Nothobranchius furzeri: one gene and its partners. The protein of the gene in region 1 interacts with the protein of each later gene in a biochemical or structural test. Links are inferred from orthologs where the notes say so. Each region holds a gene or a part of one and is shown on either strand. Other genes may lie near its edges. The genes, in order: stub1, cftr, ube2wb, lrrk2, atxn3, nqo1 and raf1a.

Region 1 (4,113 bases):
CAATCTTAATATTTTGATTTAATTATTCAAAAGTTTACATCACTGAAGCCTCAAAAGATCTTGGCATCCATGAAATAAGTTAATAGAGACCTGTTGTCCTTCTCTGCTGTTGCAGGTCTCTACACAGTTAGACGTTTTCAATTTTGATGTTCAAGTAATTTTGCAGCACAGAGCGCCCTCTGCTGGTGAAGCTTCAGATCAAAGTAGGACAAGCCGTGATTAAAAAAAAAGTAATTTGTGTGTGTGTGTGTGTGTGTGTGTGTGTGTGTGTGTGTGTGTGTGTGTGTGTGTGTGTGTGTGTGTGTGTGTGTGTGTGTGTGTGTGTGTGTGTGTGTGTGCTTTGCTTTGCTTTATGGTATTATAAGATAATAAAAATTTTAATTTGACACACAGACTCTAATTTAAATAAAGTTTAAGTTAAACTTTGAAATCCACAAAGAGAATGTTGGCTTCGACTTAAATATGTAAACAAAACAAAAAAACAAGTCTACCAAAATAACAGCAGCAAACAAAGATCCTGGATATCATTTCATAACAAGAATATGTGAGTCTGTTTGATCATTCATCATTGATCAACATGCCAGGAGAATCCTGAAAGGAATGTTGATAAATGATCCACGTTTTAACAGATTTGTACAAAGTTGCCATCAAAGGGTATATGAATGTAATCCACATTTTATTTTGGTAGGATTATTGCATTTTCTGACACTCTGACATAGCATCCTACCTGAATATGAATTTGAAACCACTGCATTAGGATTTGTACATAACTATTTGATTTAATGCTAAATTAGTAAATAAAGATAATTAAAAAATATAAAAAGATGTTCAGTACAACAGTAGATGCACACGTTTTTTTACCTTTATTGTCAATTAATAGTTGACCTCAAAACCTATTATGTATGAATATGTAAAATGTGTTTTGGAATTACTAATACTTTTGAATAGCTTGAATCTATGTCTACATGTGATAAAAAATAATGACTAAATAACTCACATGCCATCTTAATAAATTTGTCTAAATGTTACGTATTAACACGTAAATGTACAAAAATAAATGATACTTAAAAATGGTGTTTAAATAGCTACAAAATAATAATTAAGACAATTATTTAATAAAATAAAGTATACTCAAAATACTAAACGTTATTTACTGCATTTCACAAACAAATGAAATTGTTGGTAAGTCTTTCTATACATAAAACATTTTTTGTTTTATTCTAAATGAAAGATTAGGAGGTAATAACTGATACATAGTTTCAGTTATTTGCTTTTTATTTCATCGCACTAATTGTGTCCTTTCGGCTTCCGTTGGAGTAACGTAAAAAAGCCCTTTACGTCAGCATAACAACAACTTGTCATGAGAGCTCGTACGGGGAAAATCAATACTTAAAGACTGTATATCAAAATAAATGAAGTCACAATCATCTGGATGTAAGATTTATCATTAAAGGTAAGAGTTGGAAACGGTAGGCTTTAACAACGAACTCAGTTTAAACCAGAAACAGGGGAGGCTTTGGGCTAACAGGCTAATTTTAGCATTAGCTAAAGATTTTTTTACTTATCGCTTAGCCGGGTCTTGGTGTACTATATTATTAACGACAGTGTCCGGCTGAGAATAGTTTGGGATCAAACGTGGCATTTATTGTTCATTTGATGAATTCAGTGAGTTTAACTAGAGCTGAATGAGCGGAATCCTTTAGCAACCCCCGGTGAAAACCGACCACGTAGCCTAGCTTACTAGGCATAGCAGCGATCTCTGGTCTCACTAAAGTTGTGAATTTTTTCGTCTGAGAACATTTTCTTCCACAGCAGCTAGCCTCCAACTGTTCCTGCGCAAGCGAGTGATCTGTTTGGAGGTGTCGGTCGTCACCTTTCGGCTACCTCTGGTGTAAAGTTACCCTGACTTAATACTCAAAGCGGTGCTCATTGCAGATTGCAGCCCACGCCGATGTCCGTCATATGAATAGTTAATTCAGTCTAGGCACCTAGCTGTGTTTTTCAGCGGCAGTGCGCGCAGTCAGCAAATCAAACCTTTTGGGTGGCATCGAGCAGCATTGCACCTAAAAGACGCGCATTGCAGCTGCAGTGCAGTAAACCCTGTGGTGTCTGCTCTGTAGAGCGCGATCCAGGACGGACTGGTCATTTTGAACTCTGACGTCTGGCCAGCCGAAGAGACGGGGAACAGGATTGGGAAGCAGGGCGAGGCGGGCCCCGCGGAGCCGGTGGAGAAGATGGCCGGCAGCCCGGAGAAGAGTTCCACCGCGCAGGAGTTGAAGGAGCAGGGGAACAGGCTGTTCCTCTGCCGCAAGTACCAGGAGGCTGCAACCTGCTACAGCAAAGCTATTGTGAGTGGCACTAAGGATGTCTGAGTCTTAAGTCATCTAAGCTGGAAGAATACAAATGTTTCTGATTACAGATAATTCATTAACACACTTTCTGGTTTATTTTGTCCCACAGAACCGTAATCCATCAGTGGCTGTATACTACACCAACAGGGCCCTCTGCCATGTAAAGCTGCAGCAGTATGACAAGGCTCTGGCTGACTGCAAGCATGCTCTGGAGCTGGACAGCCAGTCCGTTAAGGCACACTTCTTCCTGGGTCAGTGTCACCTGGAGCTGGAGAACTACGACGAGGCTATTGGAAACCTGCAGAAAGGTTTGAGGAAGTCCTTAAAGAGGATGTAAACATGGCTGAGTTTTGCGTCATTTGGGGGGAAAAGTTCGTCTCACAAGTTCCTTCATTTTTCTTTCATAATTCCTTTTAGATTGAAGTTTTTGTATTGTCATCCTTTTATGTAGTTGTTTTCTCGTCCCCATTGTCTTCAGCAATCTTTAAAAGTTCTATTCCATGTCTACATCAATGTTGTGTAGATAAATTAATGACTTGTTGTGTAACATTTCAGAAAAGTCCGTTTTTTTCACAGTTCAACATGACCCTTAAATGTTGTAATACAATCTCCAGTAATTTCTGCCTATTTTAAATACCAGAAAGCTGATGTTTAAGTGCTGCTGGCTGACAGACTCACACTGTTCAGTCCGTGTGTTTTACTCATTTATATCTTTGAATGTTGCTGACAAGTCTCCAGACAAGTTCTTCAAACAAGCAGATCACACAGAGCATTAAACCCAATGTGCAACAGTTATTTGTTTTTTTTTACTAAAGCAGCGGAGTCCAATCCTGGTTCTGGAGTGCCGGTATCCAGCACGTTTTAGCTGTGTCCCTGCTCCAACACACTTAATCAGCAGCTCATCAAGGTCTTCAGAAGCCTGTTAATCACCTGCTGAGTGAAATCAGATGTGTTGGAGCAGGGAAACAACTAAAACATGCTGGATACCGGCTGACTTCAAAACTCATGGATAAGTCTAAAACCATAACACAACACGAGGGTCAGATTTATGCTTTCTATTATAAATGTATAGTTTACAGGCCAAACCAGAGCAATCAGAGGCTGGTTACCTGGTGGGTGCTGATGGACTGAGTCAGTGTCTCCAGTCTGCGTCATAATGATAGAGAAAGCTTGGTCATGTGTAGCTGCAGGTGCAAAATCTCTATCTTCTAACTACAACCTAACCTACCATTTCAGAGCGTTGGGAAATTGTTAAGCAGCCACAGCACCAGCTCTTCTGCAGCAGCATGGAATTGATAGAAAATTGATTTAAAGACTGTTTAGATGTTCTTTTTGACCGTTTTCCAAACTTCCAAGTTTTAACTAATGTGACTTATTTATTTGTTTATAGCGTATAACCTGGCAAAAGAGCAGAGGCTGAACTTTGGAGACGACATCCCCAGTGCGTTACGCATCGCCAAGAAAAAACGTTGGAACAGCATCGAGGAGAAGCGCATCAACCAGGAGAACGAGCTGCACGCCTACCTGACCAAACTCATCCTGGCTGAGAAGGAGAGGTCAGATGGGATTTTTCTGAAATACATTCTGGCACGCTGTGCTCCAGGTGGTTTAGATTTAGTGATATAACGTGGCGTTTACTATTTTTCATAGAGAACTTGAAGAATACAGAGAAAAACAGGATGACAATCAAAGCGGAGGAGATGCAGCAAAGATTTCATCAAAACACGTTGGGTTTTGCCCTGATTTTCACACTTTTTACTGA
Region 2 (3,500 bases), on another chromosome or scaffold:
GAAGCACGTGTTTGTTTTATTACATGGATGGGACCACACACCCACCCACCTCTACATACACACACACACACACACACACACACACAGGTGTTATTGCGTCACAGACTGTATTTATGCTGAGTGCAGGTTTAAGGGTCATTTCACAGCTCATTAGTTTCCAATGAGGCCAGAAGCATAGCTGTAATAGTGAGAGCAGCATCAGAGTTCACTTTTGATTGGATGGTGCTGATAAATCTGTGTGTGTGTGTGTGTGTGTGTGTGTGTGTGTGTGTGTGTGTGTGTGTGTGGTGGGGGGTTCTCTCCATAGAGGACAAACCAGGAGAAATAGGTATCGTTGTGGCTCTGGCTATGCTCATTCTGGGGACCTTCCAGTGGGCTATCATCACCAGTATCAATGTGGATGGACTAGTATGTAGCACACACACACACACACACACACACACACACACACACACACACACACACACACACACACACACACACACACACACACACACACACACACACACACACACACACACAACTTTGAGGGTTTGATAAAAACATGCAAAATTTCTCATTTCTCCCAGCTTCTCCCCCCCCAATGGTTGAAATTAACTACAACTGTTGCCTGCTGTAGCTAACGCTAACAACAAGCTAATGCTAATTTTAGCCAACTGGTACTAAATAAAAGATCCTCACTGTTGGACAAAAAAACTATTATTACTAACAGTAGCAACAAAGCCAGGTCTCAATTAGTCCGTGATTTTTTAGCCTCCTTTAGCTCCCTCAAACCAGTGTCGGCCGCGCCGATGTTCACTTTGATTTTAGCTCTTTGCTTCTCCTCCAAAGATATCCCTCTGTTACTTTCTCTCTGAGTTTCTCGGTCGGAAAAAGAGTCGTTAACAAGCGTGCTCACGAGCACACACAAAGAGCAGACTCACTGCTCAGGGGAAGAGCAGACACAGAAACTGCCTGCAAGAAGGGTGATATCCTCTTAACTGAGGTTGCTAGGGAGGAGGACAGTGGTGGCGCCAGGGGGGTGCCAGGGGGCGCTATAGCTACCCTGGATCAGTCATAGCACCTCAAGTAAATATTAGATTTGTTTTTTTACAATTTAATTTCAATTTAACGTGTGGATGTGATAATATTTAACATACAAAACAAAAATAATCAGTAAATTATCATATAGATAGTAAAAACTTAAACCAAAACAGTAAATTGATGTTAACCTTTGACCTCATGTTCCACTTGCGAATGAGTGAAAGGTAGAGCTAGTGGTAAAATGGGTCGTTTTTTGTTGCCCACATTTCCACGGGTTCATTCAGAAACGAATGAATGTTTGGAAGTGATCTCAGACCCACAAAAACCTACGTATCTGGATGAAGAGAGTCAACCCTCAACCGCCGCAGCAGTCCAGGGTTTGGCTGCTGGAAATGCTAACACTAACATTAGCTAACCTTGCAACACTCTAGATGGTTTTCTGTGTGGCTGTATGTGTTTATGATTTCATGGAAAAGTCAGCGATTGTTCACATGTTTATGATTTATATTAATGATTGTTTCAGGTGTTGTTGAGGTTTTGTGCACGCATGTGTATCTGCTGGTGTTGAAGGTGTTTTAGAGAACAATAGGTACGCATGACCACTTCCTTCATAGCACCCTCAATAAAAAGACTAGCTCCTTCATAGCACCTGCAGAAAAACATTTCTGGAGCCGCCACTGGAAGAGGATGTTTTTCTAAGGAGGTGAGTGGCTCCGAGCACCAACGTGTCATATCAGCAGGTGAGTGGTTGAGCCAGGTGGAGGTGCAGCAAGACTCAGCAGGAGTCCAGTGCATTGCAGCCACATAGTACTGTACAGACTGGCTGATTCTAACTCGGTGTGGAGCAGAGTTTTAACCTGAAGAATGAGATATCATTACAGTTTTGGGCTGAAATTGTATAATTTAAGTAAGTTGCACTAAACTGCCAAAATAATGACACATGTCTACAGCTCTATTAGACACTCATCCACACAGGTAATCAGCAAAAAAAAAAGAAAAGCTGATTTAGGTGTTACTCTCACTTTACGTACAGTTTCTGACCAGCAGAGGGCTACAGAGTGCTGTCCCATGTGGAGTTGCTCAAGTTTCTGGCTCAAGAACCACTGAAACCAGTTTGAAAGCAACGGCTTAAAGTGTTAAAAACTCTAGTGTTGCCTTAAGAAGAAGACAAAATTTAGCAGGCCTCCGCGAGATAAATTATCGTCACACCAAGTAAACTTTTCGTATTTTCCTTGTAAACTTTCCTTTCCTTGAGCCAGATGCTAACATGAATATATAGGGTTTGAATTAACAGATTCTCAGCCACCTCGGCTCCTTCCGGGCAGAATACCGCCTTTTGCAACTTGAGTCTCTCTGGACCGGTGAAATGAAGTCTCAAGAGAGTCACGTATCTCGTGAGAAGCAGTAATGCTATACTGCAATACACGTTTGCCCGTTTCCTGCTTCTTTCCATATTTATATTTCCTCAGACATTTCCTTTATTGTTAATAGAAAAAATTCTGCCCCAGCTCCCCCTGCTCTCACGGAGACCAGAGCTTTGCTCACACAACACCCAATCATGAAATTAATTTAAATGTGACTTTTTTAAAGAATCTTATAATTTGACACACAACCAACTGAACCAAAACATAGGAAGTACCAAACCTGCACAGGGCAGAATTCAGTCCACCTGTTTTCTCCTCTCAGATGCGTTCAGTGGACCGGGTGTTCAAATTCATCGACCTGCCATCAGAGGAGGTCCTACTGGGTAAATCTGGAGGCAGAGGAGGTTCCGACTTCATCATCAACAACCCCCACATGTACGACTACTGGCCCAACCGAGGTCAGCTGGACGTCCAGGATCTCACTGTTAAATACACCGAAGCTGGGCGAACCGTGCTCAACAACATCTCCTTCTCTGTGGAGGGGGGGCAGAGCGTGAGTCCCAACCTTAACTACACTTTAGTATTCCCAGTAGATCTCTTCATGTTTTTGTCTGTTTGTTAACAAAAAATATCTGATGACCAGTAGATGTAAATTTAGTTCAAGTTGATTCTTTTGGACTCTTATGTTGTCCTGGCAGTAAATAAATCCTGACTTCCTGTTTGCTTGTCTAACTGTTGCTGTTAGCATGTGGAATAAATACATCTTGCCTTTAATACATATCTTTTTTGATTCCTTTACTTTTTTGAAGTGTGTTTCTGTGTAAAACTACCTCGCCTGTTGCAGATAATTTCCTGAACATTCTCTGTTTGTAAGTAAAGTCTGCATTATTCAGCAGAGATGGGAATTGTGGCATCAACAAGATAACTTCATGCTGTGATTTTGTTCTGCTAGGCAACTGGACCAGGTTCATTCTCTGTGCTGACTGAAATCACCTGGTTTACCTGCTGGACTGAAGAAAAACCCGGCATGGAGAAGACTTGTTGATGCCACAATTCTCAATTTCTGCTATTCAGGACTGATATGCTAATGGATAGTCTGAGTGCATTACTGCA
Region 3 (3,500 bases), on another chromosome or scaffold:
GATTAAAGTCCCATAGTTGTCACTAGGGCTGCACAATATATCGTAAATATATTGTTATCGCGATATCAGCTTGCACAATATGCATATCACAAAGAACAGATAAATATCGCAATGAATGATCAGCTCAAATGTTTGCTACACATAATGCATTCTGTCAATCAAATGGAAGCCTGATGTTTTTTTTAACAAATCAAATAGAGCTCTTCACCCATTTGGCCAAAAGGGTGGGTTCTCATAGATTAGATGCCCGCCCCTGAGGCGGACAGTACTTAATTTTGATGGTTAGCAAACACATGAGTTAGCTTTGTTCTGCTCTTTTTGCTGATTCTGCTTTTCCTGGGATCCACTGATTACCTTTTCTTGTTCATTATCTTTTTCCCTTTCCTCACATCTTTTGCTTTTCTCGTTTTTTTTTTTCTTCTTTGTTTTTGATTATTTTTGTTCATGAGATAAGTTTTTATTTATTGCAAGTAATATTGTTATCGCAATTTAATCATTGTTATCGAATATAGCCGGTTTTCCTAATATCGTGCAGCCCTAGTTGTCACACACACTTGTGTGGGGAGGCGCGGTGTGCTGCAGACACGGCTGCGCTCGGGAACTATTTCGTAGTTTAACCCCCCAATCCAACCCTTTAAAGCTGTGTCAAGCATTGGGTCCCATTTTTAAAGGCCAAGTAAAAATGCCTTTGTTACCAAGACGAGACCAAGCACATATAATATTAATATCAGATAAGGAGAAACAGCCAGCTGCTACCACTTCAACTTAAGGACAAACTACCAGAGTCCCAAAAAGAAAAAACACCATTTGAAGTCACAGACACCAAAGATGTTTAGGCATAGAAAAATGTGATTGTTGATTTGTGCTCTCCCATTTACTCTGGCAATGCGCATTCCCGTATTGGGGGGCGTGGCCTAGCCGACGGAGGTATGAGAGTCTTTTGACTGTGTTTATATGGAATGGCCAACTTGCTGTGCTGATTTGGTAAAGCAGCTTCAATACCAATGGTTCAGAAAATATGATTACCACCCCTGTAACGTTTATATTCGACAGTAAACATTTGGGTAACCTGTGTTCTTTATTGGGGCACCGGGGGAATGTTTTAGTCATCATTGTCCTTTTTTGTTTTTAGGTGGATTGTAGATATGGAGGGAGCGCCCGGTACACTCTATGAAGGAGAGAAATTTCAGCTGCTATTCAAATTTAGTAGTCGATATCCTTTTGATTCACCTCAGGTAAGAGCAAAGGGTGTGTGTGTGTGTGTGTGTGTGTGTGTGTGTGTGTGTGTGTGTGTGTGTGTGTGTGTGTGTGTGTGTGTGTGTGTGTGTGTTCGCATATTTAAATGGGTCCTACAATTCAACAACCACTTTTACCTTGTTGTTGAATAGAGGCAACTTGAGATGTCTATGTAGCGTACCAAAAAGTCTGCAACTTGTAAATTAGTAAAGTTGTAATGGTCACGGAGAAACGGTTCATCCTGACAAAAACTGGTTTAACGCGTCATAAGCATAGACGCACCTCCCTACATTAGCATGCTCCAACCCACTTCAACATCCGCAATGAATAAACTTTGATCTCAGTAATGCTAACTGCAGAAAAATGCTAGCCCGAGCTACTGCTAATGTTCTTATAAACAAAGGGAAAACACATGTAACGTTCCAGGATGTACAGGGTATATCCAAACTTATAATGAATGCCAGATAGATCTGTAGCTTTCTATTGAATAATATGGATATTGTACACTGCTGTACAGAGATTCTAGCTTGAGCAGTGTCATTGAGCCATTAAACCAGCCAATCAGCATGCAGCTCATTTAATATTCATTATCAGAGCTCCTAGGGCATTGTGGACCCCAACAAAGTGTCATGTGCTTTATATGGCGCTTGCACACTAGCGTCGTAACGGTCGGGGTTTGGTCGGGCAGGATGGCGTGAGTTTGGGCTGGTATGGTCGGTGTAGTGTTTACATATTAATCCGAGGAACTTCTCAAGATGCGGAAATCCCCAAGCCTGTGGGGGGCGCTTAATACGCGCGGGAAAGTCCGTTCCATAAGGTACCAAAAGGCGGACATGAGCTGTGTTGCTTTTGGAGACTCTGAACCACATTATTTTATTAATTTACTCTGTGTCCCCTCATAATCTTGTGCCGCCCACCCCCTGATTTCTCCCCTGAGCAGCTGTCTGCTTGCGAGGGGCAAGAGCTCCGATGCGGAGAATGGGAGCATGCATGCACACACACACACTCAAACAAAGCTATTCTTTTCTCCCGCTCCCACACTTAATAGCAGCTCCGGATCGGCAGCTCCGTGCAACAGACAGAAGTTAACTCAACAGCATCCAGCATGAAAATGAACCGCACATGCAGGAACCCCCGGCTGGCTGATTCTTCTCGCAGATCGGAGGCGGTAGGCGTAATTTCAGCCGGCCAGTCAGTCCGTAGTGTCGCCTCGGTCCCAGTCTGACCGCTGGGGAGAAGGTCTGGGAAAAAGTCGCCTCGGCACTGAAAACGCTAATCGGACCGGTGTGTGAAACCAAATTCCGGTGCCGTTCGGTACCTTATGGGCCCGTACCTACGCTAATGTGTAAGCGCCAATAGAGGCTCAAAGAAAAGCTGTTGTAGATCCACGTTTGTGGATCTTTATCCATACCATACCATACCAAGTTTATTTATAAAGCACATTTAAAAACAGCATGACAGCTGACCAAAGTGCTGTACAGTAGTAGTAAAAGGAAAACCCCAAGATAAAAACAAGATAAATATCATAAAAGAGATAAAAGGGATAACCTAAAAATGTAAAAGAAACATACTAGAGTAAAAACAAAGTCACAATAAAAACAATGCTAAAAGGTTAGCACATTTCAACAGGGAAGATTCTATAACAATAAAAGCTTGGTCATTGATCAAAAGCTAAATAGTAGAAGTAGTCCTTCAGTACAGACTTGAATCAACCCAGTTCTGGGGCCTGTCGAACACTAAGGGTGAGAGCATTCCAAAGTTTAGGAGCAGCGAACACAAAGGCCCGCTCCCCACGAGATTTATACTTCATTTTTGGGATGTACAAAAGTAAATGATCTGCTGATCTCAGGGTTCTGGGTGGAACATGAGGCATGAGCAGTTCTGACAGATGAGCAGAGGCTTGACCATTCAGGATGTTGTAAACTAAGGTTAAGACCTTAAACTGGATACGATATTTAACCGGCAGCTAGTGCAAGCGTGCAAGGACAGGTGAAATGTGACAGCGTCAAGAGGTGTTTGTCAGGAATCTAGCCGCTGCATTCTGCACTCTCTGAAGCCTTATCCAGCCTAGTTGAAAGGGTCACTCATTTCTTACACTGTCTTAGCTTCAGTTTTCTTTTATGATGTTTTGACAGTAATGTTTGAATTCAGCATCACTAGATGATCCGATATTGGCACCTATCTGTTAAGAGTTCTGCAGCGGGGGCACTAAAGCCCAGAGGACCACTTTTCTAAACTTAAGTGGAAAAACTTTTGTGTCTACC
Region 4 (3,500 bases), on another chromosome or scaffold:
TCCTCCGAGGCAGCCTCCACCAGACAGTAGGCCTCAGGGGACCAGTTTAAGTAAAGCCCTCTCCTCCAGTAGATTCGGTTTGGTCGGAGAACTTTCTCTATGAAAGTAAGGTGACAGAGTTCTACTATATTGCTGTTTGCTTAAGAAATGATGAAATTCTTTACAATGAAACAGAAGTTGCTCATTTTACCTCTTCCACCGAGCAAATAGGATGAGACTTCCAGCAGGCGGCTGATCTGCCTGGACCAGAAATCCATGGGGAAGTAGGGCAGCTCATACAGACGCACAATCACCTCAGAGTTCTCACAGTGAGGCAGCTCGATCACCGGCCTGTGTTTGGACAAGCTGCAGACAGCAGGGTGAGATGCTATAAAACTCAAGACTCTTTAATCGGGGCAAGTTCCAAAAAAGTGAAACTTACCTGCTAGGAACAAGAAGCTGGCCGTCCCCAAAGGGAAGAGCAATCAGAAACTTCTCCAGGAGTTTAAAGAACTGGACCAGGTGGCTCTTTGGGAAACATTTGGTCTCAAACAGAAACCTTTCCACCACGGATCGCTGAATAACTCCTTTGGGTTGCTCCCAGAGACTACAGCTCTTTAGCATCCCTCTCTGTAAAGAAGACAGAACTACTTACATGAGAGTTTTTCAGGGCATTTGAGGACAACTTAGATAGTTATATCTAAAAATGTTAGCTAAGGAAGTTTAAATAACCAACACCAGATGTGTGGATTTCACAGCTGAGCTGCTGGTTGGTAAAGGTGTACAGAGTCGGTCCATAAAGGAAACCAAGAAGACTAAAGCTATTTTTGAATTAAGGAGTTCTATCAAGAATTACATCAGACTCTTTACCTACAGTGGAATAAAATATGATAAAATTACTGTAACACGCCAGCAGGACCAAGTTGCTGCTAACAGACACTAGACAAACTCCGGTTTTTCACCCATAAGTTGGAGGATATTATAAACTAACCATTTCACTAAAACAGTATAGGTGAGAGTTTGGCAGACAAGTCTGGTTGGGTTTCATTTGATAATAGTTAAACATGGTTTCCTAGACACATTTAAATGGAGGTTAATTACAAAAAAAGAGGGACTCAAGGACTTGACCCTGTGGAACACCAATAATAACCTAGCATGGATGGGATTGGAGACTAAAGTCTAGTGTGTGGTTTTAGAGGTATAATTGTAGCTAAAGCTGGCTGGTAGTCCAGCATTGCCATGACAAACTAGACAATCAAGAGGTGGGTTATAAAGAGGGACCATTTCTCAATGAGACTATGTTCTTGGCTGGGACAGCAGAAAGTCTGTTCTATGGAGTACTGGAGGACGAAGACTGCATATGGAACAACCATACTCCATTACATCTTGGCAAAAAGCTTTTATACTACGGTTACAAAAAGGACCTGAAAGAACAGTAAAATTCTGGTTTGTCCCTTAAATATCAAAATAACAAGGAAAACCTTTTGTTTGTAGAATATTTGGTCAAATTTTTAATGCTACAGTGTGTCTTTCATTTATCTTTCTTCAAAACTGGTAAAATACCAGCATTTCACGCTGTTACATGAAGAAAAATAAGTTCGTTTTTTATCAAAACAGATATGCAAACACTGGTTTTATTCTGATAGTGGGTTAGCTAATTACCTGTCGTGGTTTAGTGAAGAGTCAGAAAAAGAGAAAAACAAACACAACCATTTCCCAGTCTACACACAATTATCTACAATAACAGACAATTTTATATTTATTTATTTAGACTTATTTGTATTTTTGATAATGAAACACTAGTTAGGAGCTTTGTCTTCCACAACTTTCCATTGGAGGTAGAACCATTTGCGATGCAATGCATTATGGGATAGCTTGCTGGCCCAAGTCCACAGAAGGCTGCGTTGATGCGTCCTCTATACAACGAGCAGAGCAAAAACACATCCTGGTATTTTTCTCCTTTTTTTCTTTATTTTCCTTTTTTTCTTTCTTTTTTTCCCTTCCTGGTATTTTAAGAGTACTTGCCATGATGCATACTCAGGTTTGGAACAGTACTTAAGCCAAAGTTGATGAGGTTTCACAAGGACGTGAGTGCACAAGTTCAGACGAGCATGCATGCTGATAAAAGACCCTGGTGTCAAAAGCATCAGACTGAAGGGAAAGAGCGTGATGCTAATGAAAACTCAGCTGCCATCAGCAGGTCACTGGTAGCCCAGAACCAGAATGAAACGTGTAAATGTTGTGATGATTGTTAACGTACTCAGCTACTTTTTATTTCAAAAAACGAAACAGCTTGGCTAGGGTCAGGGTAATGGACTTACCTCAGACAAGACGTTGCAGAGCCACTGTGGGATGAGAAAGTAGAATTCCTGCAGCTGAAGCGCAGGGTCATCAAAGTGCAACAGAATCCCTACAACAGCAAAAACAAATCAAAGACTTGATCAGTTTATTCACAACAATCTGTAACTAATCAGCAGGTGAGGTTCTAGATAAAATCTTTCATTTTGTGTTCCTCATTCCAAGAACGCTCCATTCTGACAGGCTGGAGTAAAGGGGAAAAATCAACACGGAGTTTTACAATAAGGAAACAATTCACCAAGGGTTTTATACCAAGTTTCTTCATATAAACAAACAATTCTAATTTGATCTGATGAATATGAGATTTTATCGTAGATTTGGCATTTTTATACACAGCTGTGCTCCTAACTGACCAACTTCGCTGAGGAAGTGGATAGCTTGAGGCAGTTCGGCTTCCTCCAGCTGCAGCTGACTCTTGTGGATGAGCTGCAGAAGCTCGCTGTGCCTGAGAACGGGGAACTCTGGGGGGACCTTGGTCCTCTCCTGCAGAATCCTGCGCTCCAGCTCCACATAGCTGTCTGGCACCAGCTGACCTATAACTTCCTGGCCTTGGATCTGGCAAATAAAGAGCAGATGACTTGAGATTAGACGATAAAACAAGAAATACATTTATCTGCTTCCTTTTTACCTTGAAGCTGGTGACCTCCCGGATGATAGTCTTACGGAGTTTGACGATGGAATCCGAGTCCTCGCAGGCAGAGACTATGTGATGGTCTCTGATGGCCGGGAAGCCCTGATAGTTCAGCAGCTCCTGTCGAAACTTACCGAGACAAGCCTGGAGCTGCGCTTCCTCACTCACATCTGTGTGTGTCCCCACGAGGATGACTGGGGACAGCGGAGCCACAGCCTGAAGTAAAGATGCAGGAAAACCATTCTCATCAATGTAGTTTAAATCAGGAAGTGGTACCTCTGATCTCTGTCAGCAGCACAGAGAAACAAGCTCAGCTTTGGTCTGTGGCTCACTTTAATGTTGAAGAGCCAGGGTTTGAGAGCATCCACCTGACTGGCTCCTTTGCTCAGGTTGTAAACAACCAGGTAGAGAGCTCTGGATGTCAGAAAGTGGGGGTGAGAGCCACTGAAGTCCTCTCCACCTGCAGGTTAAGGACATTAATAGAAATGATAGTTGGAAGAATGAGTTTATAAATGAGGCCCCTGATCTCTTT
Region 5 (4,056 bases), on another chromosome or scaffold:
TGTTTTAATTACTTGTGTGTTGCACGAAAAACCGCTACAAAATCAGGAGGCTTTGTTGTTTTCCGTAAAGCTTTAATCTAAACGTTGGTCTCATATTGCTTCTGTTGAACGCCTTTTCGTTTTACCTCTCAGCAAGTAAGGACATAACTTCCACGTGTTTAAGAAAAGAAACACAAAACCAGGATATAAAACTGTACGATAGAAATAGAAGGCGCCATGGTAAAAAGGCAAATTGCAAACTTGGATTAAACTGCATCGTGAGTCTTCTCCGGTCCAGTGGCCGTGCTTTCTAAAAGATTCAGATGAGAAAGTGCTGCCTTTTCTTTGTCGTTCTTCTCTTCCTCAGTCAGTGACTAACGAGGCGGGAAGGGGGCGGGGGAGTAACCACGTGTCAGCCTTCTGACTGCCCTTATGTTTGCATTTGCAAAAGGTTAGAAGAAGGAGCAAAGCCACCCCTGAGAGGGGAGTTGAATCCAGGCTGCAGGTAAACAACACGGACAAAACTTTCACCACTTTATTGGATGGGAGCTTGTTGTTGGTCCTCCTCAGAGCCAGTGTTTACTGATCCTGGTGGAAATAAGAGCCACAGGTTAAACGAGTCATCAAGTCACATGACTTCTGAACTAAGTTAGATTTAATCACCTGGATCAGCCGCTGAATGTTTGTCTGCTTGTTGAGGAATGCTTGGCTGAGCTTGTTGCTGCCTATAAACACAGAAACATCTGTTTTCTAAGTGGGCAGAGCTCGTTTAGGGATTTAAACAGTCGTTGTAGATCTTACCGATCGAAGTAGGCTCGTCTCCTCTTCCTCAGCTCTTCGGCTGTAAGCGTCTCGTTTTGGCCTTCTTTTTGTTCTCCTGTAGTGCTCTCTGCTGCCTGCCCTCCAGATTTTACACCCTCCCCTTCACTGTCTGACATCCTGTTGCTCATCACTGCTCCTGCAGAAAGACAAATGCAAATAGTTAATTTTACAAACTAATGTTTAGAAGTTTAATACAAGTTTCAAACAGTTTTAAAACCTTCACATGGCACACAATTGACCTTGCATGCTGAGCTGTATGGCTCTGCGTAGATCAGCATCTTCATCTTCCACATCCATGTCCTGTCTACTGAGCGCCAGAGCTCTCTTCAGTTCTTCATCTTCACCCACAGACTCATCCTCAACACCAAAAACCACCTCTGTCTGGCTCAGAGCAGCCGACCTTCTGCTTACAGCAAAACGCACGAATCAGACGAGTTAAACAAACCAGAACCCTTGTGAACAAAATGACACACACCCCGCACTCGTCTGCGCTTCCTCCTCTCCGATGAGCCTTGGCCGCTGCTGCTGATGGACCCTCATGATCCCAAGAATCTGCTCTGCCTCACACTCAGGGAGATTCCCTCGGATCACAAATATGGAATACCCTGCAAAAAAAAAAAAGAACTAATTTAATCATCTTTTCTCCAGTTCAACCTCTAAATGTACAGTTTCTGATGCTACCTTCTTGTTGTAGCTGTGCAAGGAAAAGTGCTAAATATGTGTCTGATATCAACTCTGGTCCTGTCAACAGTGAATTCAGGTTAAACCACTGCAAAGGAAACAGAGAATTTTAGTGAATCAAGCTGCTATAAGACAAGTATGACTAGGTAAGTGAGTGAGTGCCACACACCTGTTGTCCAAGTTTGCGTATAGTAAACCAGTGCTCCTTATAATTGCAAATGAAGGCTTTCTCATTTCTGAAACACAAAGTAAGCATCAGCTTAAAGAAATGAGAGATCAGGATCTTCTATCATAATGTTTCCACATTAAAACCTTACACTGGGTTTATCATTAGGCTCTGGTACTCTCGACTATTAAAGAGGAGTAGCTCCAAGCCCCAGACTCGAAGAGCATTGCTAATCACCTTGAAAATATTGAAACAAGAGTGATATTACAGAAGAGGACATGGATTTTAGAAGCAATAAAAAGATAATTGTAAACTCACTTGTATTGAAAAGAACCCACTATCATCCATGTTCCCAGAGGGTTGCTTTAAACACATTTTCGAAAGAAAAACATGAATAAAATTACATTTTTGATAACATTTTGTACCAATATGTACCCTCTGTCTCATAACACCTGTAAAAAGGTCCTGTACTCCTCACTAGCCATTCCCCCCTCTGCCATCCTCATCCTCTCCTCTTCATCAAGCTGATGAGCGATAGAGGACAGGTCCACAGGAGTGAAATACTCGCCCTGCAGAAGGTTGTTGAGGCAGTGCTGGGCACAGAGGGAGCCCTCTTGCTGCAAACAAAGGATCAGGAATGTAACAAGCATCCAGCATCAGCTGGACTTCTGGAATAAAGATGCTCAACCAAAACAAACACATGTAGCAGCTAGCCCAACGAGGACCCAGCCAAGCAGAGAGCGATTAACTAACAAGAAAACAAAACCCCTACATGACGCCAGGAATAGTTATCATGTTAAAAATCTAACTTTTCACATTCTCTGACTAGCAAGTGAATTAGCGTATTAGCAGTTTGTACAACAACTCCATCACAAACGCCTCGATAGCGGCTACTTAACTGGTAAAACTATTCAGCAGATCGAGCACCGACACCGCTTAATCAAAAATCAGTAAATATAATCAGGTAAATTCGTGTTATAAAATGTTTAAACCTACTTTCTCATGAAATATGGAGTCCATATTCAGCTTTCTGTCAAACGTTCAACTCTCTAACCCCCGCCCCTCACTCGCCCTATCGAGAGGAGACGCCCCCTAGCGGGCGGGCGTGCGCGCGGCACAGTGCTGGACGCCTCTACTTACGGCAAATGGAATATGGCGGACAGTGAGAATTCCATGAACAGGCTGGAGCTGAGTCAGGTATGATGTTCTCTCAGCTAATTCCGTTGACAGCGCTTTCTGAGAGTTTGTGGCAAAACGACGGAGTTTAAAATAAAAAAAAAATCATGTGTAATAAGGTTTTACTGCATTATGGTAGAAGGTTGTTCTTGCCAGGCTAATAATAGTCGTAGCCGCCAAGGCTAACTAGCATTAGAGAGGCATCACGCTGTTTATTACGGATAAACCGACTTTATTTTTACTTCTTTTCGGGATAAATTTAGTCTTTTTCCATGAGAAATGATGTAAGTGTTTGTCTTTCCCCTCTGTGCTTACACATGACATTTAAAATGCTTAGCCTGAGGTCCTGAATGCCTTTTCCGTTTATTTACAGTGAAAGTAAACTAGTCTACTGTTACTGTGTTGTTATTCATATTTAGGTTTACCTGTTCAGATATTTTCGCCTCCCAAACACCAACATAATCACGCATTTTTAAACGTCCTAATGTAGTTACAGCCTTTGTGTTTTATTATTGAGAAATCCGTCTAATGTGGTTTTTGTTTTAGTTTCGTATAAAATAAATTATTTCAGTTTTATTTTCAAAACCGAAATATAATTTTTGTATAATTTTACTTGCTTCATCCAATCCATTGTATTATTTTCAAGGTGTTCAGTTGGTACACAAAAACATATTTGTTCTGATGATGCATATTTATGTAAGTGAACCTAAACAGACTCCTGGCGTGGATGTACCATACACTCACCAGTTTGTTTAGCAGGTAAACCAGTTCAGATGCTTATTAACACAAACAGCCAATCAGGTGGTAGCATTTAGACATGTGGACATGATGAAGTTTTGTCTGATTATCTGGGGAAGAAAGGGGATTTCAGTGGTAATGAATGTGGTTTTGTGCTGGTGCCAGGCAGGCTGGTCTGAGTGTTGCAGTTTTCATCATGATATTAGCAAAAGGTTGCATCTCAACTTCAGCTGCAACATTCATAAATGTTAGGTTAGACTTTGATGTTAACAACTTGAAAACATGGATCCATCTTAACGGTTCAGGCTGCTGGTGGTGATGTAATGGTCTGGGCCCGTACCTGATTATTGTTGGCGATAGTGTCCATACTTGTGTTTCCACACTGGACCCATGCTCTGACGGCTACATCCAGCAGGATAATACTACAAAGCTCTAATCATCTCAAAATGATGTTTTATTCAAGCCGCTACAGTCACTACATCTGAATCGAATTA
Region 6 (4,293 bases), on another chromosome or scaffold:
ATAAATGATTATATTAGATTTCCACGGCTGAGGACAGAAGGATCAGAAGAATAGAGAAGCATCTCAAACCCCAGCAGGTGGCACTAGAGTCCAGAGTTCCTGCAAGTCACTTTGGTCAGAACAACACCTGTGTCAGCTCTAGTCTGTATAGTCCACCCCATGAGTCAGGTGACACTATACTCCCATGGTTGCCACGGTGATCATTAAATGCTGTCAAAACACCTAATCAGAATGTGTCTGGATCATTCTGCAGTGACTAAAAGATCAAATTAGATTTAAAAAAAAACCTCACCATCTTCACCTGAGCAGGTGTGTAAACTGCCCAGGGTCATGTGATCAACTCATCAATCAACAGCAGCTTGAAAGCAAACCAAACAAAACGTTTCCATGATGTGAAATCTGACCCTGAATTTGCTGGTTATCAGAACTCTGAACAGCAGATCAGGTGATAAAGGTGCTCAGGTAGCATTACTGAGTGTCATGGCGCGAAGGAGTCGTGTGTCTCCGTGTCTGAAGAGACAGACTTGTGCCGAGTTGGATTTGGAGCATCTAAAGTTTCAGTCAGAGAACTCATTACCTGCTCACTTTAGGAATGTGACTACCCTTCACCTATTTCAGGCTAATCTCAAAACTCATCTCTTCAAAATTGCTTAGTCACTGTTACAAGTGTTTTAAAGGGAGTTTTCCTCTCCACTATCGCTAAATGCTTAGTATGAGGATTGCTGTAAAGTCACTGACACTAGTCAGTGACTCGATGCAATTTGCTGGGTTCCTTTTATAAGGAACTTTTTTCTGATTGGCTTAATGACCTGACCTGTATTGGAATGTTTACTATGTGAAGGGCCTTGAAATGACTCTTGTCGTGATTTGGCGCTTTATAAATAAACTTGAATTGAAATAGAATTTATCTGATGTTTTATTTGGGTTTTAAATTTTCTAGTCATTGAATGTTTTAATTTCTTATTTATTTTTTAAACTAATTGTAGTGTCCTTGTTTTTTTAAAGGCACTCCAAATAAAATGTATAATTATTTTTTTTTATTATTATTATTGTTATTATTATTATTATTATTAGAGCACCTTTTGTCCTTCAGGACCCTCTTGTCTGGCTCCAGGACAGTCGAGGACCCCTAGCACCAACTCCTACCCGCATTTATGCATCAACAGTGATTTTACAGAGCTGACTCTCCGATAAAGATTAAATTATACTACTGGGTGTGAGATTGGGATTTTAAAAATGTATTTTTTACATAAACAGTTTTGGTAACCTCACAGCTTCTGCACAGACATTCTTGTGTGGACCCCCTTGGGGGTCATAGACCCCAGATGGGAACCCCTGCTTTAGAGAATGTGGTTCCAGGATCAAAACCTGTTTGGTTCTGGGAATAAAATGACTCCAGAATTTAGAACCAGCTCCTCTCTGGATTGTGTCTCTGCTCACGTCTCCTCCTGTTGAGCAGAACCGGTTCTGCAGCCTCTCAGACCTGTTTTTTTATTCCTTTGTTACATAACCATGAGGTTCTCACTTTCCGGCTACAGCAGCACTCTCACGCTAGCTGCTGGGTCTATAAGAGCCACAGGAAACACGTCCAGACTGCAGACGGAGTCTACTGAATCATCATGGGTAAGATTCTCATCTTCTGCTGCAGATCAGCTGAACTTTTCCATGTTTCTGGAGGAGAAACCCGGTTTCTGAGTCTCTGAATAAAGTTCTGGGCGGGTTTCTACAGAAACAATGACCTGATCGTTCCTGGAATGCAGGCTGTGCTCATTTGAAGAACATCAAATGAATGGAATTATTAATGATTGTTCTCATCTGAAAAAGTTTCAACAAACTTTCATTTTAGATATCAGGTTTTTTGTCTGCTTCAAAGGTGTTAAAGTAGAATTTCTCTAGTTTATTTTTGTTTATGTTCATTTATGACTAGAACACATAAATAAACAAGAACGTTTAGTTTGTGGGTTTTAGTTATTTATGCGTTTAGCATTTTTATGTGTTTTAGTTTTTTTGTTTGTGTGTCATTTGACCTTTTTGGTTCTGTTAGGTCAAGGTCAAGTTTAGTTGTGAAGCACATTTAAAGACAGCTGAGCTGACCAAAGGGCTTCGCCGGCCCGGAAATTATTAGTTTCAAACTAAGAAAGAATAAAATGAGACAATAAAAGCATGAAACAGTAACATTGATCACACTGATACACCAGGTACATGTAGCCAATAAATTATAATTTTAGTGTGGCAGTGGGAGCGTCCTGTCACAGTGTCCCGATTGATCATGCGCCCTGGCCGCGTAGCCAAGGGGATGTCCCTCTGGCTGGCTGGTAAACACACATGACTCTCACCTCGGAGTCTGGGGATCTAATCCCGCCGGGTCCCTCGTTACTCCACCTTGCCACATTAGGTTTAACTAAATGCTTCTTCAAATGGTCCTTTTATTCTAAAGTGTGTTGGGTCCGCTACGGAAAAGATGTCCCCACAAGTTTTCGGGTTGGTTCTTGGGACCTCCAGAAGAAACAGGGCTAAACCACAAACTTCTGGCTGGAGGATGGGGCACCAGAAGCTCAGAGGGGGCAAGGCCTTTAACGGATTTAAAAACAAACAAGATTTTAAACTTGACAGAATAGGTACTGGTCATATTCTGGTCTTGGTTCTGAAAACAAACTTCCTGTTTGTCGTTCCCAGATCGGAAAACAGCTCTCATCGTGTTCGCTCACCAGAATCCAGCCTCCTTCAACGCGGCGGTCCGGGATGCCGCGGTCCAGGAGCTGGAGGCTCAGGGATTTAAGGTCGTGGTGTCTGACCTCTACGCCATGAAGTTTAGGGCTAGTGCCACTAAGGATGACATCATCGGTGAGCCGCTCCTTTTCCTCCTGTCATTCATGTTTTCTTTATCGTCTCTTTGGTTTTTTTTTTTTTTTTTGGTTAGGTTGATTGATCATATTTAAGCTTTTTTTTTTACCATAAATTATGTTAAACCTGTGTGTGTGTGTGTGTGTGTGTGTGTGTGTGTGTGTGTGTGTGTGTGTGTGTGTGTGTGTGTGTGTGTGCAGGCGACCTGAAGAATCCAGACAAGTTTCAGTACGGAGAGGAGACGATGCTCGCCTGGAAGGACGGCCGTCTCAGTGAGGACATCAGACAGGAGCAGGATAAAGTCAAACAGGCAGATCTTATCATCTTCCAGGTCAGAGGTCACAAATCAGTCTCAGTTTAATGGTAATGATCCATGAAGAAGCCTCATAACTTCCTGTTAAGATTTTTGTCTGTTTTCACGCTGAGGCTTTAAAAAAAACCATCAGAACCTTTAGTCCGATCAGGACCAGTGAGCTGTGACTCTTGGGAGCAGTTTGTTGTATGATGGAGATGACATTCATTGATATCTATGATAGACACCCCCACAGACAGGTGAACCAGGTCAGGAAGCCCCGCCCCCTCTGGAGATTTATAGCTCAGAGTCTAAACGCGTCACAGGAAGTTGGATGTTCCATGATCAGACTGCTGTTCTGATGTCTTTGATCACTGGAGGATGTTTGGAGATTTTTACACAGATTGGAGAGACGCAGGTGGCTGGTTACCATGGAGACCCCGATAAGACACGCACTGTTTTTCTAAAGCACTTTTAGTTTTCACCCAGCAGCTGTTTGTCTGCTGTTTCGTTTTAGTCTGACTTCCTGTCAGGGAGGGGGGGCAACACAAGTGGCCGGTTGCCACAGTGTCCCTGATGAGCGAGTGGCTGCAGCTCTAACATTTTAGTTTATCTCGGTTTTCTTTACTCTTCAAACATAAGATGATTGTTTCAGCTCTGATTTTTATAAAGTTGCTGTTTGGAATTAAAAAATGGTTTTCCTGAGACTGTTTATAAATGATTGATTAGTTTTGTTTTTAGTTATCACATACACACACACACACGCACACACAAAACAAAAGGCCTCTCTGAGCTGGTGCTTTGTGTGTGCCTGCGGTAGTTTCCTATGTACTGGTTCAGCGTTCCGGCCATCCTGAAGGGCTGGATCGACCGAGTGCTCACCCAAGGGTTCGCCTTCTCGCTCCAGAACATGTACAGCAACGGGATTTTCAGGGTGAGATCCTGATCACATTCACACAAACCACCCGATCAGTCACAAACAGCAATAGAACTTTTTTATTTGATGAATTACCGTGTGTGTGTGTGTGTGTGTGTGTGTGTGTGTGCGTGTGCGTGTGTGTGTGTTTAGGGTAAAAAGGCCATGCTGTCCTTCACTACTGGAAGTACACAGTCGATGTGTAGTCCTGACGGCATCAACGGGGACATTAACGTGGTCC
Region 7 (4,166 bases), on another chromosome or scaffold:
CTGGCGTCAGACGGACGCACAACAAGTCGAGCCGCGTCACCTTCTCCAACAACGTGAAGATCGATTCAAACGGCGTCGCTTTAGCGGGGAACCCATCGGACTTGTACTTTCAGTGTTTTTTCTGCATCAGGGAGAAAATCCACCGTCGTGTCACTTTGAAGGACCGACGGATTTCTCGCTTTTGTCACGTCCGGAAGACAAAACCTTGTTTTCCGTTGCTTTGGATGAATTTTTTCCAAGAGCCACCTGTGACCTTTATGTTTTACAGTAACTGAACTGACTTTCTGCGTTTACAGGAGCGTTTGGGACTAGTCGAGGACTCGCTTTTGGTCTTTTTTCCCACTTTTCTTTGAATGCGTTGCAGATATGATGATGTCACCGACGCCACTTTTTCCTAAAGTTATGGCGGAGCACAACTTTTTGAACTTCTCTTGGTAAGCATGTACGATCTACCGGTCCTAGCACTTCACTACTATTGATACACGCTTGAAAGCCGAACTTTTAGTGTTAAAACCGGTTCTTTTTCAGACACATTAACACAAAATACAGGTTAAACCATTAAAAACCGAGCAGAAGTTCAGTTCGCTGTTTCAGGGAGGGCCTGCTGGCTGCTTCGCTGTTTTTGGTGAAACTGTCGAGCTTTATTTAAAAACACACTCGCTGCTACCCTCAACGTATCATTTTAAAGCACGAGAAAACCCACACGAGTATCCCAAATAGCTGTTTGTCCCTTGTTTGGTTTGAATGCTACACACTAGCAGCATTCATGCTAACCTGCTACATGTCAAAATCACATATGTGGACGTTTGATGAAGCAGCCATGTCGTTGTTGTAAACTGAACTCATGCTTGGGATGAATCAAGCGTTTGCAACAAATCTCCAGCGTTTAGCCTGTCTGCAGCAGATGTGCATTAACACAAGTACAGCAGACATGATAACAACACGAGTGTCTTCAGGGTCAGCAGCCTCCTGTATAAACCTGCAGGGTGGTGGTAAACACGTGAATGTCAAGAATAAACAAAAACCTTTTGGTTGTTTACATTAAGCTCAGTAGTTTGTGATGGAAACAATCCAGGTGAGTGGGTTTATTTGATGGCCTGGCCTTTTGTTTTCAGGAAACACATTTTGCATGAAATAGTCAGTTTAGCTCAGCTCATTGTTTTCTTCTTCTGGTTTATTAGCATATATAGGCCACACGCGACTCTTTTTGCGTGTTATAAACTTCCAGCCGAGACAAAAAGACCCGCAGAAACACACAACTCTGCAGTTTGGATTAGCTCAGTGTTTCTGGCTTTTCTCAGTAATTAATATGTTTTTATGCCACAATCCCCACATGCGATCTCTATTTAAAGGTTGCTGGAGGTGAGATTAAGTTTTGAGATTAAACCTTACAGCGCTCTAACCCAAATCTCATGTTTTGCCACTTTTCCCCCCCTGGTGTTTTAATCAACCGTGTCCAGGCCAGCAGATGCTGTTTCTCATTGTCAGCATAAACATTGTGTCTGTATGCCCCAAAACATGCATTTCTGCAGCTTTTGTGTTCTAGTTAAGAGAGCCAGTAAATGAGGAATGCACCCACAGAGATGGATGAGATCCAATGTGTTCCTTTGTGATCTGCATAGATTGTTGTGAGTATTTAGTTTTACTGATGGAGCACCTTCAAGGAGCGTGGAGAACCCTGAGTAACGGCTTTGGAATGAAGGACTCTGCGTTTGAGGGTCCCTGCCTTTCCCCGACTATGGTCCAGGGCTTTCCCCACCAGCGACGCTCCTCAGATGACAGCAAGGTGCCAGACTCGAAGGCTAGTAGCACAATCCGTGTCTACCTCCCAAACCAGCAACGCACGGTGGTGAGTTAGTTCTGCATTAGGAAACGCGTTTAGAGTTTCCACATTTAACACGGCGACCTCTGAATTCAGATCATAATTATTTGTAATTTCCCGTGTGTCAGGTAAACGTGCGACCAGGTTTGACTTTGTACACGTGTCTGATTAAAGCCCTGAAGGTGCGAGGGCTGCAGCCTCAGTGCTGCGCCGTCTTCAAGCTGCACCCAGGTCAGAGAAGGTGAGTTCAGGGTTTTTGGACAATTGTAACCAGAAGTAAGAAGATCACATGCTTATGTTTCTCCCCCTTTATTTCTACGGTTTGTTTTCCAACCAGTAGAAAATCTCGGATGGACTGGAACACTGACTCCACCTCTCTAATTGGGGAAGAGCTGCTGGTCGAGGTTTTAGATCACGTTCCGCTGACGACCCATAATTTTGTAAGCACCCAAGTCCTCTGCAGCGCCCTCACCTCCGCGTCCAGCGGCTAAATCAACACGTTCAAAATGCTTTCTGTCATTTCCAGGCTCGGAAGACCTATCTTAAGCTAGCCTTCTGCGATATTTGCCAGAAGTTTCTTTTAAATGGTTTCCGCTGTCAAACATGTGGCTACAAATTCCACGAACACTGTAGCACCAAAGTGCCCACGATGTGTGTGGACTGGAGCAACATCAGACAGCTCCTGTAAGTATCTGAGAGGGGTCTCTTATTATAAAAACAACTTTTGATTAAATGGGGGAAAATGGTGACATGGTGAAGCACAACATTTTTAACAAACAAATTACAAAAAAATACACCAATTAAAATAAGCAAGTCAGCACACGCACAGTTCGTTTATCTCCCTCGGGCTTTATAATTTGATTTATATTAGAAATGAGCTCACCCAAACTTTCTGCAAAGATGAACAGTAGAAGGAAGCTCTGCTGATATCCCAGTTTGCATAGGGGTGTGCTCATTTGCATCCTGGCACTGCCAAAAAGGCCGTTTTGTTTCATTTTGCATGCAGGCTGTAGATGAACAGTAATTCTGTAAAGATTAGTGTCATTTGCACACTGCTCTGTTGTAAACACACCCTCCTCAGGACTTTAGTCTCTTGTTTCTGTCGGCAGGTTGTGTCCGGTCCCCGGGGAGAGCGGCACCCCGTCACTGCCGCCGCTCACCTCTCGACGGATGAGAGAGTCTCTGTCACGGTTTCCAAGGTGACGTTGCTTCTCTCTACTTATTCATCACAAACCCTCTGCAGAAGGATAAAACAAGGTTTTATTATGCAGGTGAAACTGGAACAATACTTCAGAATATGGTCCATTTATTTATGTAATCCAGATTAGACTGAGAGGCCATCTAAAGGCTCAGGAAAACCTTTGCAGGTGTTTCAAGTTGAATTACTGACATAAATGAACTTTTGCACTGTTATAAGTTTAATTACCTCCAGATTAACATCAAGCTGTTGTAGACTAGATTACAGATTAGATGTTATTCGGCTCACATGTGGTCAAGTTTGGACTTTTTTAGGATCATATTTTAATTGTGTTGTATGTGTTTAAAAGGCTGTCTTTGCTTCAGGGAAGCTTATCAGTGGAAGGAATGATGTAACGCCGGGTGTGAAAAACAGCCTGTTGTTTTGATGGCTGATAAAGTGGTTTAAAAAAAACACCCAGGGTTGCTAAATTGGCTGTCGCTGCAAGTTGTTCCTTGCAGAAAAATGCGAAATGCTCGACAGGAATATTAATTCCTGTTGTCTAAAGCGGGACTGCTCATGAAGAACACCAAGGCGAGGTTCTGCTCAAAAACACAAACAGCCGGTTCCTCTGCGCCGCTTCTGGACGATTTCTCTGCAGATCCGAGAGCGGCTTTGCGCTGCTGTAGGATTAGCATATCTGGCTGGAAGGTTTTGTGCTCTTTAACCGATCTGGACACAAAGCCGCTCAGCCACACACGGCTAAAGAGGAAGACCAGTAACAAATACGAGCCCACTAGCTACTTCCCTTAAACAATGTAGTTTCACTCTTTGCTGTTTACCACACAGCTAAGGCATGTAATGGCTTCTGGTGCTGAATGTGTGGCAGTAGTCCAACGTAAACAAGGGTGCTTGACTGAGGAGAGTTAATGAGGCCACCTCACCCACACCCACACCCTCACCCGAAGATGTGGCCGACAGAAGCATCCACTGCTGGTTTGGTCGTTTTTAGCTAAAGGCTCGATTGTCATCCTGTCACAGCTCAGCCCACCGAAATTCCACCCCCCACGCCTTCAACTACGCCACATCGTACCAACCCACAGGCGGCGGTCTCTCCCAACGGCAGCGCTCCACCTCCACGCCCAACGTCCACATGGTCAGCACCGC

What was found.
Region 2: of the proteins of stub1 (region 1) and cftr, one has a biochemical effect on the other in vitro, tested with the Homo sapiens proteins (4 studies listed by BioGRID). The link is inferred for Nothobranchius furzeri from reciprocal best matches to the Homo sapiens genes STUB1 and CFTR.
Region 3: the proteins of stub1 (region 1) and ube2wb form a complex in vitro, tested with the Homo sapiens proteins (7 studies listed by BioGRID, with this or other methods). The link is inferred for Nothobranchius furzeri from reciprocal best matches to the Homo sapiens genes STUB1 and UBE2W.
Region 4: the proteins of stub1 (region 1) and lrrk2 form a complex in vitro, tested with the Homo sapiens proteins (3 studies listed by BioGRID and IntAct, with this or other methods). The link is inferred for Nothobranchius furzeri from reciprocal best matches to the Homo sapiens genes STUB1 and LRRK2.
Region 5: of the proteins of stub1 (region 1) and atxn3, one has a biochemical effect on the other in vitro, tested with the Homo sapiens proteins (6 studies listed by BioGRID, with this or other methods). The link is inferred for Nothobranchius furzeri from reciprocal best matches to the Homo sapiens genes STUB1 and ATXN3.
Region 6: of the proteins of stub1 (region 1) and nqo1, one has a biochemical effect on the other in vitro, tested with the Homo sapiens proteins (2 studies listed by BioGRID). The link is inferred for Nothobranchius furzeri from reciprocal best matches to the Homo sapiens genes STUB1 and NQO1.
Region 7: of the proteins of stub1 (region 1) and raf1a, one has a biochemical effect on the other in vitro, tested with the Homo sapiens proteins (4 studies listed by BioGRID, with this or other methods). The link is inferred for Nothobranchius furzeri from reciprocal best matches to the Homo sapiens genes STUB1 and RAF1.

What each region holds. Positions count from the first base shown.
Region 1 is NC_091756.1:32,259,707-32,263,819, reverse strand, and holds the start of stub1 (E3 ubiquitin-protein ligase CHIP), read left to right. Parts: upstream 1-1,313; 5' UTR 1,314-1,453; intron 1,454-2,120; 5' UTR 2,121-2,234; coding exon 2,235-2,348; intron 2,349-2,460; coding exon 2,461-2,659; intron 2,660-3,741; coding exon 3,742-3,907; intron 3,908-4,001; coding exon 4,002-4,077; intron 4,078-4,113. UniProt on the Homo sapiens protein: E3 ubiquitin-protein ligase which targets misfolded chaperone substrates towards proteasomal degradation.
Region 2 is NC_091744.1:53,050,081-53,053,580, forward strand, and holds part of cftr (cystic fibrosis transmembrane conductance regulator), read left to right. Parts: intron 1-307; coding exon 308-408; intron 409-2,709; coding exon 2,710-2,940; intron 2,941-3,196; coding exon of another isoform or gene 3,197-3,211; exon of another isoform or gene 3,212-3,256; intron 3,257-3,339; exon of another isoform or gene 3,340-3,500. UniProt on the Homo sapiens protein: Epithelial ion channel that plays an important role in the regulation of epithelial ion and water transport and fluid homeostasis. Mediates the transport of chloride ions across the cell membrane.
Region 3 is NC_091747.1:53,051,291-53,054,790, reverse strand, and holds part of ube2wb (probable ubiquitin-conjugating enzyme E2 W-B), read left to right. Parts: intron 1-1,132; coding exon 1,133-1,235; intron 1,236-3,500. UniProt on the Homo sapiens protein: Accepts ubiquitin from the E1 complex and catalyzes its covalent attachment to other proteins.
Region 4 is NC_091744.1:48,478,194-48,481,693, reverse strand, and holds part of lrrk2 (leucine-rich repeat serine/threonine-protein kinase 2), read right to left. Parts: intron 3,429-3,500; coding exon 3,301-3,428; intron 3,185-3,300; coding exon 2,966-3,184; intron 2,893-2,965; coding exon 2,691-2,892; intron 2,390-2,690; coding exon 2,301-2,389; intron 610-2,300; coding exon 422-609; intron 346-421; coding exon 191-345; intron 98-190; coding exon 1-97. UniProt on the Homo sapiens protein: Serine/threonine-protein kinase which phosphorylates a broad range of proteins involved in multiple processes such as neuronal plasticity, innate immunity, autophagy, and vesicle trafficking.
Region 5 is NC_091758.1:31,656,002-31,660,057, forward strand, and holds atxn3 (ataxin-3), read right to left. Parts: upstream 2,759-4,056; 5' UTR 2,669-2,758; coding exon 2,645-2,668; intron 2,266-2,644; coding exon 2,101-2,265; intron 2,012-2,100; coding exon 1,967-2,011; intron 1,886-1,966; coding exon 1,800-1,885; intron 1,719-1,799; coding exon 1,652-1,718; intron 1,571-1,651; coding exon 1,483-1,570; intron 1,407-1,482; coding exon 1,277-1,406; intron 1,205-1,276; coding exon 1,041-1,204; intron 938-1,040; coding exon 781-937; intron 705-780; coding exon 643-704; intron 568-642; coding exon 515-567; 3' UTR 501-514; downstream 1-500. Other genes in the region: E3 ubiquitin-protein ligase UBR1, read left to right, coding at 2,801-2,845. UniProt on the Homo sapiens protein: Deubiquitinating enzyme involved in protein homeostasis maintenance, transcription, cytoskeleton regulation, myogenesis and degradation of misfolded chaperone substrates.
Region 6 is NC_091749.1:66,525,528-66,529,820, forward strand, and holds the start of nqo1 (NAD(P)H dehydrogenase [quinone] 1), read left to right. Parts: upstream 1-1,493; 5' UTR 1,494-1,619; coding exon 1,620-1,623; intron 1,624-2,676; coding exon 2,677-2,844; intron 2,845-3,044; coding exon 3,045-3,175; intron 3,176-3,956; coding exon 3,957-4,070; intron 4,071-4,205; coding exon 4,206-4,293. UniProt on the Homo sapiens protein: Flavin-containing quinone reductase that catalyzes two-electron reduction of quinones to hydroquinones using either NADH or NADPH as electron donors.
Region 7 is NC_091755.1:58,342,979-58,347,144, forward strand, and holds the start of raf1a (raf-1 proto-oncogene, serine/threonine kinase a), read left to right. Parts: upstream 1-1,366; 5' UTR 1,367-1,597; coding exon 1,598-1,849; intron 1,850-1,950; coding exon 1,951-2,063; intron 2,064-2,159; coding exon 2,160-2,262; intron 2,263-2,348; coding exon 2,349-2,506; intron 2,507-2,931; coding exon 2,932-3,021; intron 3,022-4,040; coding exon 4,041-4,166. UniProt on the Homo sapiens protein: Serine/threonine-protein kinase that acts as a regulatory link between the membrane-associated Ras GTPases and the MAPK/ERK cascade, and this critical regulatory link functions as a switch determining cell fate decisions including proliferation, differentiation, apoptosis, survival and oncogenic transformation.